3 linked regions of the Drosophila melanogaster genome follow. The protein of the gene in region 2 interacts with the protein of the main gene of each other region in a pairwise test. Each region holds a gene or a part of one and is shown on either strand. Other genes may lie near its edges. The genes, in order: Cpr92F, CG3528 and Gsc.

Region 1 (3,754 bases), on a different chromosome or scaffold from region 2:
TCCGTAGGAGTAGGTGTGGCTGTGCGGGTCCAGGTGCTGGTACTGTGTGGAGACGGCTCCGTGCCAAGAGGCGGACACCGTCGAGATCAGCAACGCTGCGGCAATAAACTAAATAAAAATGGGAAATTATTTTTTGTAATTTTGATGTAGCTGATAAAAAAAACTAACAAATTTCAATATAGCTTTACAGAACTGATTTTTATATATTAAATATATATATAATAATAATTAAAAATCTTTTTGATTTTGCCTATGTTGAATTCCGATTAGAGAACTTTTGTACCTTCATCTCTTTGAATATTTCAAATTATTTAACATATAGCTTCTACATGTTTCTCACAGTGCAGAAGGTGTTAGGCGTGGGATTATGTGACTGCTCAATAATTACTCGTGCGGTAGCCACCGCCCAAAATCGTTAATCGCAGGTGTCACTCAGTGGAAGCTTATAAGCCGCCTCTGCTAACCTAATTACAGGCTTTTCGCTTTTCTTGCTCTTGCGCCAGCGTTTTCCTCTCGCTTTTCTTGCCCCACACGCCCATCTTTTCGCTTTTCTCCTGGACTCGCTTCTCCTCTGGATTCGCTTTTCCAATGGTTTCGCTTTTCAGAGCCGCGAAGCGCAACCGTTAGATTTGATTCCGAGATATGTAGTCAGTAGTCGGTCGGTCGGCCAATATTCGTTCGAAGATATTACCGCATGCGGCGCGATTATGTACGATATTATGTGTCAGCAGGTGAGTGGGGCAGAAAGTGGTGGAAAAACGGTTGAATAAACTGTCCGACATGCAACATGTCAGCGGCTTATCAACGGGATTTCGCACGGAGTTCCATGGCAGCTGATGGTTTGCTGGGTGGTACGTTTAGCATGACGTGCCATGGTAATTGACTCTCGGATGGAACTGAACGATGCACAGGTGCCATTTCGTTCGGAGCGGAATTTAAGCGAAATAAATTGAGTTTACAAAAGCAATGTCAGTTGAATTTTAAATTAATTGCGCTATGACAGATTAAAAGAATGCCAGGAATTCATTCAAACTTAATGGCAAGTCACTGTCAAACTAGTGTTTACTTTTCGAACGGCTGACAAAATCCAATTTAAAGATTTGGTATGCCACACTTCTCTCTTGATACCGATTAACATATCCCAAAGATCGAAAATGAAAAAGCAGTTCTAACTAGCGAAACCTGGCTGTGGACTTACATAGTTCCATTAAACTACGATTTTAATGAACTTAAGCATTTCATGATAGAATCAATCAATTAAATGAACTTTTGCCCACTTTTATGGTAAAATTTTGTAACTTTAAGAAAAATAAATTACATGCAGAGACGTTAATCACTAATTTGTAGAACAGAAAAAGTTAGAAATGTATCTCAGTAATTCAAGCACGGAATCCAAATATCCTTTTCTCCTCACGGTAATCTACACACTCCAACTCATATTATTTATAACTTTAATCCTCTTGCTCGGCGTTATCCTTTCGATCCCATGGCGCATACTTACGAATGGCTTCATTTTAGCTATGATCACACGATTGAGCTTCGAAAAGGAGTTTCGGGGACACACTGCGGATGAACGGAAAACTAACTACACACGACACACGGGCACAGGCACTGGTCGCTGGACGCTGGTTGAACCTCCTAGAACCACGACTAGGACTGTTAACGAACTGTGCTGACTGCTGGCTGGCGGCCCTAATATATACCGCCCGAGACCAGCGAGCCCGGAGACTGGGGATTGGGGAGCAGAGACACTGCAGCCGAGACTCCGGCTGAGACGCCGGCGCATGCGCAACATTGGTAACAGCAGCGAAAACACCGCAACACCAGCAATATCGGGCGTTCAACAAAAGCCAACAAAAGCCAACGAGAGCAAGAGCAGAACAATGTGTGGTACCAGTTCCAGAGTAATCGAATTACCACTTTAATCGGGGCTCGAAGCGGGGTTTGGCCAGAGCCGAAGTGGATATCGCAGCCGAAGAATGTGTATCAATCGCTTGCAGTGGAGTGCCGCTGCAGCATGTTGCTGGCCTGCAGTTGCACTGGCAACATGTTGCTCGTGCGTTTCCGCGCTGCGTTTGTCACTGTGGAAAAAATCACAGCTGCCATGACCTTGCTTTCAACGCGATTTAATTGCCGGTATTGGTTTCAACCTGGCTTCAACATTAGGCGATTAATGTATTTTATTTGGTGTTGTTTCGGGTGCTAGTTCTTTGACTTCCGCGGTGCGGACAATTAGCACTCATTATTTGGCCACGGGATTAGGCCGATCTTATCGATCAGTGCCTTTCCAAAAAACGCCCAAGAGCCCCGCCCCAAGCGCAACGCTCGATCAAATTAAAAAATTCTTACCCACCGCTTGCAACATGCCCCAATGGTGGCCATAACGAAATGTGAGCTGGCCAATTTCTGGGCGTTTGCCTCTTTAATCATTGAACTGCATCGGAAAACGAAACGAAAACTTTGCAAATTAAAAAAAAAGGAGAAACAAGAGCACTGCCCAAAGAAGCAAGCGGAAAACAAAAGACAGCAAAATGGATTTTCTATTCACTTTTGGCCACCGCTGTTGCCACATGTTGCAGCATTTCTTTGCTGTCCGCTAATCTAGATGTTGCACTCCCAAATGCACTCATGCACTCGGAAAATCAAAATTATTTAACTTAGAATGAGCTATCCTTAACTAAGAATAATCCCTAAGAAGAGAAAATGATATTCGTCGAATGCTAGGTGAGTGAACGATTTCGAAAGAAATGCTGTTGTAACTAATTTTTGTATGTATCTTAGTTGAATATCCCAACTTCTTAACAATTATTGAGTATCTTAGTTATTAAAGAGAAGAGATGATTTTTTTTCCCCAAAATGTTATTATTTTTTTATAGCTCAGTTAAACATATAAATATATATATATACATAAAGAAATAAATATAATTTAATGTAATGAATTTCGATTCCGTATCCGAAATCCGATTGCATTTTTTCTGCAAGTGCAGCAGTGAGCCTCTCTTGTCCGTTGCAATATAATGAGTGCTTGCACCCTGGCTAACTTTGATTATTTGCATTCGATAAGCGAAATCGGGAGGGCGGTTGGCTATATGCGCCTATATACTCGTTTATAGTCTATATGGCACACTCCATATTCTTGAGTTCGTATCGGCAACTTAATTTGTTTGCCTTTGCCTGCCACCAATTTAATTTGAATAAACCAAACCAACTTCAAACTGCTCTTTTGAACCCGCATGTGCTGTTGTTGTTGTTTTTATGCGCGGGCGGGCGATCGGTTTGGGGCGTGTTTGACATTTTTGCGGTATGCGCAACATTATAAATTATATTTTTTGCCGGTGCCACTTTTGTTTTCATTTTATTAGCTCGGCCCACTGTCGACAGCTGTGGGCCGACTGCCTGAATGAATGCCTCGACTGGCTCAAGTGCAATCCACACATTTGTGGATTTGTCGAGGTGCCCACCTTCAGCCACCTTCAGCTTCAGCTCCAACCCGACCCGATCCAATCCAGCTCCATTTGCGAACGGCGTCTGTAATTATGGTCTTGGCTCTCAATGCGAACGCTACTGGCCGGGTGTCGGGCATATGAATTCTGATCGGTATCTGGGTGAAAATTAACTAATTACCTGGTAATAACGCGTATTATGCAATCAGAATCAATTTATCTAAATGCATTCCTAATCTAAGCGTAGCCAGACTTGGATGTATTTTAAAATTGATATCTTTCAATGCTACTGATCACATCAAATGTATGTG
Region 2 (3,590 bases):
GCGAACTTAGCCATGGCCCAGTGGAGACTAAAAGTTGTAAATTAGCAGCTAATTGTATATGCAAATTAAATTGCACTGCCTCTGCATGTGGCACTTAAATCATAATTTAGGCGTATTTAATATTTATTTGAATTTGCTTCTCCAAAAACATGGTATCTGGGCAACAGAGTGGATTTAATTGTATTCATATAATTTTTATTAAGACTGACTACTAATATTTTCAACTCATTAACCACCAATGTGTAAGCCGTAGCAAATTCTCCTTTCAGCCTTGTGTAAATTTTGGCCAAGTTGATTTGCATGAGTGGAAAGGCCAATTAAACAGACACACTGTTGGGAGAATTAACAAAGCGTCATAAGCTGACCCACACAAGCAAGTTGGCAAACAATGGCAAATGCGCAAACAGAAACATATTGGTCAAGTTGAAGGCTCAACCACGCCCCCATTCCGCCGGGCGACAGTTAATAGATTTATGCAATTGATGTTCCCTGACTGCGATAAACTCAACAAAGTGGCATAAAGCTCGGGTAATTTCCGCCGCCTGATGGACGGAGGACTCGCCGGGCGGAAGGACCTCGAAACGTCCATCAAAAACTGCGACCAGAACTGTACTGATAAGATATGAAAAGCAATTTACGTTAGCTGTCAGCGACAAATGCGCCCTCGTTTCGATTTATTTGCACATTTCATTTAACGACGATTACGTTCATTGACACTTTAAAGCCGTCGCTAATTAATGCGCCTGATTATGTGGTCGAAGAATATGACATATCCATAAATGGGCGAGAAATACGTTTTGCGGCTGACATTTTTCGAGTGCTCGCAATCGCAGGAGGCGTTCACACAGAATATTTTGTGATCGCCAACATGCTTTAGCAGCAGACTGTGGGGCCTCTTGTTCAACACCCGGAAATTGTCGCTGTTGTTGAAGGACACACGATTCTGGTGCCAGTCGAAGTAGCTGAGATGCAGATTCGATGGCCTCAGCTTCGTTCTGCCCTCGAAAATGGCCCGCCAGTCTACGCAGCTTGTAGAGTTCTCGAATCGCGACTCGCGCAGACTCTGCTCCAGGTCCAGAAAGCTGGAGATCTCTAGACCCTTCTTCGAACGCATCACCAGGTAGACGACGGTCTAAAAATTACAAAATGTACACATTTCACTACACATAAATGTAACCTTCTAACCGAAATTTGCTTTTCGAGCAGCTTCTTCTCTCGATTGGCAAACTGTTGGAGCACCTCATCTTTGTTGTTCAAGTAGTCTCCAAAAAGTTGGAGTCCTCGTAGTCCCCTTGGCTTTAGAAGCACCAACTCTTTCTCCTTCCGCTGGTAGAATTGCTCGCGGGTGAGCAGATTACCCAGGCAATTCTTACCGCAGGCATTCTGGATCAGGTTCCTCTGGATCTCTTTGTTGCCCAAATAGCGAGTGTCCTGGATGGTTATGAAGCTGTCTACATAGTCCTGGTAATGATTAAAGTTAATCAGATTCATTCCGCGCGAAACTCAAAAAACTAAAACTGAAAAGCTGCTGAATGGCAAGAAAACTGTGATTTCGTGTAAATCAAAATGTATAATATTTTGAATAAGTTCGAGCAAAATACATTACTGACAACAAACTGCCAACTTTGGCTCAAAAGGCAAAACTTTTGCTGGGCCTGAAGAAGCAGAGTTGTTCTCATATTCAATTTCGAATGAAAGTAGCTGAGCACAAAAAATATTCCTTCTAATTTTCGAAACTCGTGAAAAAGTCTTATCTTAATTGAAATTTGTTTGAGAAACTGATAGCCGGAATGGTTTGTAACAATTTGTAACAGCTTTAATTTCATGTGCGCACAAATAATTAAACATTTCCCACATAGAGTTCCCTTGGCAGAATCCGCTGCGCTGTTCGTGTGGCAAATTTAATAAATGGAAAAAGTTTCACAATGCCCAAGCCCCGACTGTGCCCTTGTCCCTTTTAGCCCAGAACTGTGAGTATTTTCAATTACACTTCCCTATGTGCCACGCCCTCTCCCGCCGCCCATCAGGGGCATTTCGCATATTAAACTAATTACTTCATCAACATTTTAAACTGCCAGCCAGCCAAAGGGAAAATTTGCATTTTCAGCCTGTGCGTATGCAGCGCTCTTTGTCCTTTTCCGCCTGATATCCCGTTGAGCGCACACTGTCGAGGATTAGCAGTCTAACAAGTGACACCTAGTGTTCCGCACATCGCCCTATGAATCCCAAGGACTTTCAGATCAGATCAGATTTACACATAAACGGTAACCAGTTGATGAACTTGCAACGAATAGTTTATAGTCAACTAAAAAATGTACCCAAGTCTATGAAATTGTACAGGATACTGTAACCTGCCTTAAAAATAAATCACTTTCAAAGTTCCTTTCGCCATTTGAGATTAATCACCAGGTAAACCAATTAAAACAATGCCAACAGCCGCTGCTAATCAGCCATAATTTATATATCAAATAGGGTGTGTAAGATGTCCTGCACTTCCTGGCAGATTTCCAGCTCGCTTTTCAATTTCCACACACAATACGCAGCTAGATTTTCCCCTTGCCTGCGTGAAGGTGTGTGTCTGTGTGAATTTACGCTATTTAGACACGCTTTCCCACTGTTTGCAGTTGTTGCTGTCGTCGCTGCAGCAATTAACATGCAGCCGCTGCCGACACTTGGAGCTCAGTGCTCCTCCACGTGCAGATCCCCCTCCATAGTTTTCCTCTGCATTTTCCCAAGCCTTCTCACAATTTCCCTTCCCTCCCCCCTCTCCATCACTTTGGGGCAACAACTGCTGTTCCGTTTTGCATGCTTTGTCACCATCTTGCCGCTTGCCGCCGTCTTGAGCGCGTAAATTGCTACTTCGTGGGCCAATCCTCCTGCTCCCCGCTGAAGTCACGACATACCCACTTCCCGCCAGTCTACTGGCAGGACCTACAGGACCGCCAGGACTGCCAGGACTCGCATTTCGCCCGCTGCGTCTTGGCCGTGGCCATTGTTTGACTTGGTCATTAGTAAATGTACTTTGTCGCAGCATAAAAAGGAGTTAAGTGCGCACTCTAAGGATTTATGTGCATTACCAAAGAATGAGGCGGCAATGCTCAATGCTGCCTCGGGAAAGTCGAGGCTGCTTTTGCCATGTGTTAAGTGCACATTTCTGATGAATGAGTCGGCTGGCTGCAACTGCATTTCAATTGCAGAAAGTGCTGAATGGACTGAGGGCTGGAATTTATAGTTGAGCAGTTGCCGTCATTATCGCACAGGGCATGCCAATCATCCACTTGAGCAGTTGCATAGATTGAAGTTATCAGAGAACTTCTAGATATGTAAATCATATTTTTTCAAGCATTCATACATTTCGAGCATGACAATGGACATGATTGCCGAAAAGCGTAGAAAAGCATACTGCTTGCATGTGCAAGTCAACCAGGAAGGGGTTTTTATAATTCCTATTTTGATTTCATTTTGCAGACCCCTAACTACGAAACTCCCAGATTTTCTGTGTAATCCCATCGCCACTCTGGAGTGCAATTTCCTTATTATAATGACGCTTGGCAGTGGTAGTAGTGCCACATGTCCGGCAAATAAATGGC
Region 3 (3,754 bases), 1.9 Mb from region 2:
GGGAAAGAATTCAGGTCAGAGGTCAGAGTAGGTAGAAAAGGCAACAAAAAGTTTCATGTGAAAAAACAAGTTGAACAAATTCTGTGAGGAAAATAATAGAAAAAAGTGCGTCACATCTTTTGAGCTTAGCGAGAAGCGCACTCCCAGAGCTTCCTCCTCTTTTTCCATTCTCAACTCAATATTTCCTTTACATTTACAACATCGTCATCATCGGTTTTCCCGTCGGGAGTTGTTGGCCATGTAAGAAGTTCAGTGTAAAGGCAAATAGCGAAGCCCAGAGAAAACTGGGCGGCAGGATCCACTAAGAATCGGAGGGGAAAGAGGACCAGAAATATCCTGGTCCTGCGGTCCTTGGCCTGCTTAATTATTCAATAATTTCTAAAAGCATTTGGCCACATGCGACGTCATCAGCCGTCATCCTTTCATCCTTTTACGGCATGTGACAGGACCGCCCCTCTTCTTCCGTGCGCCCCCGTAATCAGTTGAACACATATACCCCCAACACACACTAAAACATCTGCATTTATGTAAGCCTCCCTCCCTGGACCCCTCCTCTTTGTCCATCTTAGTACACAGAGCGATTTGGGTGCCCTTTAAATACTTTCTTATTATTTAAAGATATTTCGAAACCACCCAATTTAGTAGTCAGTGTTGATTGATAATTTATCAGGAACGCCTCGTCTTCCATGATTCTCCTAGCAGAATTAAGTTTAGTTAGTATGTAAAGATGGACCTTACTTGGGAATTATTTCTCCAAGTGATCCCCATTTTTCACCCCCACATAGGTGACATTGTAAGGACTTTTCGGTTCATTTGCTTTTCCTGGCTGGATTTCCATTTGTGATTGTGGGTGTGGTTTGCAGAGTTGCATTTATCATTAGTCGTAGCTTAGCTTTTGTTTTCCTGCATTCGAGTGGACGAGGAGGGGGGGCATATCTAGGGAACGAACCCTGGCGGCCATTGGGGATTTTGCACTTGGGCATGTTTGATGTGGAAACTTTAGATTAAAATATTTTCCTATGCACACACACGAGGTGAAACAATAGCGACGAGGGTCACCAAAGTGCCGTAGATTATTGAATGAGCGCTCCCAGTCTCCCTCCAGTGTAAGCTTCATCTTTATGTACGAGTAGTAGCGTGCTTCTTTCTACATAAAACGTTCACCCCTTAACCCTTTTCAAGCTCCCAACGTCTGCAAGAATGATGATAAAGATAAAGCTCAGAAAGGGAGAAAGAGCAAGAGCAGCGCTTCTCCGTGGGCGGATTGAGCGCATAATGATGTTTATGTGTTGCCAGAAACATAAAAGCATTAATTTAGTCATTATCTTCTTAAGATACGGCGCCAGCAGAGGCAGTGGAGTATCAGAATCCCCTGAACGCGAGAAGAGAGCGTCAGGCTTTTTGCCACCCATAATTTCCATCAGCATTTTTATGCTACCCCTGCTACTCACTCTGAGTGAAAGCGAGAGAGCTTCTGTTGCCATATCCTGCGCACCCGCTTCCCTTCTCTATCGCTCCCTCGACAGCTATCTCTTTCTGTGGGGGCCGCGGGGTCTGTCAGTGATGACTTTATCTGTATAAATAACTGTCAGTGGCCAAAGAAAGTAAGTAGAGAGCGCAAAAATACAAAAAAATACATGGAAGCATTGGTGTGAATTGGGTGGAAAAGGAGGGGTCTGGTGAATGGGGCATTATCTCTGTAGCGCCATCTTTATCCTGGACCTCCTGCCAGCCTTTAACCTGGAACACTGCAAGATGGGGGCCCGACACCATCAACCACCACCAGCTAGAGCGAGAGAAAGAGATACAGAGGGAAAGCAAAAAAGGGAGGGAGGATACAGAGAGAGGGAGAGGCGTCCAAAGCCAGAGAGTATTGCCAAGCAATATGGTAGCGTTGAGGGCGTGGCTTCACCCCGATTTCATTGGCCAACGTCGAAAAATGTCCGCTAAACGAGAGAGCAGATGTGAGTTTGTATCTGGCATCTGAGAGTCTGTATCTATATCTGTCGAGGAACTGGCCTAACGACTACTCAATCGACAACTTGTCGGGCGGAACGCTCTCACAACACTTTCGCAGCTCGAGCGGACAAGAAGGGTTCCCGGTGGCAGAAAACCTGTGGAAATAATAAAATATAAAATCACGACGCGATTGCAGTGCGTGTTTCTAGTGCGGTTTAGTGAACTTGGCATCGATCAAAACACACTAATCCAGTGAAAAAAACCTAGACTTAATATTCGCAACATTGCCACCATTACTGAATTAAAAAAAATTGTAAAGCGCTTAGTGCTTCAAAAGTGCCGCTTCATTAAAAAAAAATCAGTGGGGAAGAGACTTTTTCCTACTCGAAAGCTTCATAGACTTCTTCAAGATTCTCTCCTCACTGTGGACCCCTGGAGGAGGCGGTGGAGGCACCACCACCACCACTCCCAGCACCACGCCCGACATTCCGCCCTCGAAGGCCAAGTTCAAGATCACCGTCGTGAGCACGCCCAGCCCCTCCCCGCCGCCTACGCCCCCTCCGGCTGGATCTATGCTGGCACAAATGGTAGAGACAAATTCCCCGCCGGCGGGTTACACCCTCAAAAGGTCGCCCAGCGATCTCGGCGAGCAGCAGCAGCCTCCAAGGCAGATCTCGCGATCTCCTGGCAACACGGCCGCCTATCACCTGACCACCGCCATGCTCCTGAACTCGCAGCAATGCGGCTACTTGGGCCAGCGATTGCAGTCGGTCCTCCAGCAGCAGCACGCCCAACACCAGCAGTCCCAAAGTCAAACTCCGTCCTCCGATGATGGCAGCCAGTCAGGTGTCACCATTCTGGAAGAGGAGAGAAGAGGAGGAGCCGCCGCCGCGTCTCTCTTCACTATCGACAGCATTTTGGGCTCTCGCCAACAGGGTGGAGGCACCGCTCCAAGCCAAGGCAGCCACATCAGCAGCAATGGCAACCAAAATGGACTCACCTCGAATGGCATCAGTTTGGGTCTGAAAAGAAGTGGCGCCGAGTCCCCAGCCTCGCCAAATTCAAACTCCAGTTCTAGCGCAGCCGCCAGTCCCATCCGACCGCAGAGGGTTCCTGCCATGCTGCAGCATCCTGGCCTGCATCTGGGTCACTTGGCGGCTGCAGCGGCGAGCGGTTTTGCCGCCTCTCCCTCGGATTTTTTGGGTAAGTCTATCAATCCCCCTATACTGAACGCACAAGCCCCCTCAGCTGAATTTCATTATGAAGACAACTTAAGACGAAACCAGTTCAAAGGATGGTTCTTTAGATAAAGAAATTTTAACATTTTGAAATACCTTATTTCATGCATCTAAACTCTGAAATCACCTTAAGGCAGCTCACTCATGCAGTCAGGAATCACCCATTCAGCCACTCACCCACTTTTATCCTGACATCCTCATCCTCTCCCACTCAACCGAACCACACCCATTCCGAAGCGAGTCCTGAATGGCATTATTCATAATTAGGCAATGATCCGTGAAAGATGATTCCGCATTTCCTCTCCATTTTCCTTCGATTTTGCGGTGAGAGGATTTGCATTGGGCTCTAAGTCTTAGCTTGGGCCGGAAAAACCAGGGAAATCCGGGATGCTGGGGTGGCTTTAAGATGGGCTCAGGCCTTGTGTTGATTCGAGCGTGGATCTCAGGCGCAGATTTATGCAGAATACCGCTTAAATTCATTCAAAGGCTCCCCCGCAGGACATGAATATTAAAAACCTGGTCGCAACTTTTTTCCCCAGCTTGCTGCAACCGGAAAC

What was found.
Region 1: the proteins of CG3528 (region 2) and Cpr92F interact in a two-hybrid assay, tested with the Drosophila melanogaster proteins (one large-scale study listed by BioGRID).
Region 3: the proteins of CG3528 (region 2) and Gsc interact in a two-hybrid assay, tested with the Drosophila melanogaster proteins (one large-scale study listed by BioGRID).

The regions. Positions count from the first base shown.
Region 1 is NT_033777.3:20,667,490-20,671,243, reverse strand, and holds the start of Cpr92F (cuticular protein 92F), read right to left. Parts: upstream 1,674-3,754; 5' UTR 1,514-1,673; coding exon 1,502-1,513; intron 109-1,501; coding exon 1-108.
Region 2 is NT_033779.5:2,516,466-2,520,055, forward strand, and holds CG3528 (uncharacterized protein), read right to left. Parts: upstream 1,573-3,590; 5' UTR 1,492-1,572; coding exon 1,186-1,491; intron 1,133-1,185; coding exon 731-1,132; 3' UTR 637-730; downstream 1-636.
Region 3 is NT_033779.5:592,996-596,749, reverse strand, and holds the start of Gsc (goosecoid), read left to right. Parts: upstream 1-2,064; 5' UTR 2,065-2,369; coding exon of another isoform or gene 2,370-2,543; coding exon 2,544-3,162; intron 3,163-3,754.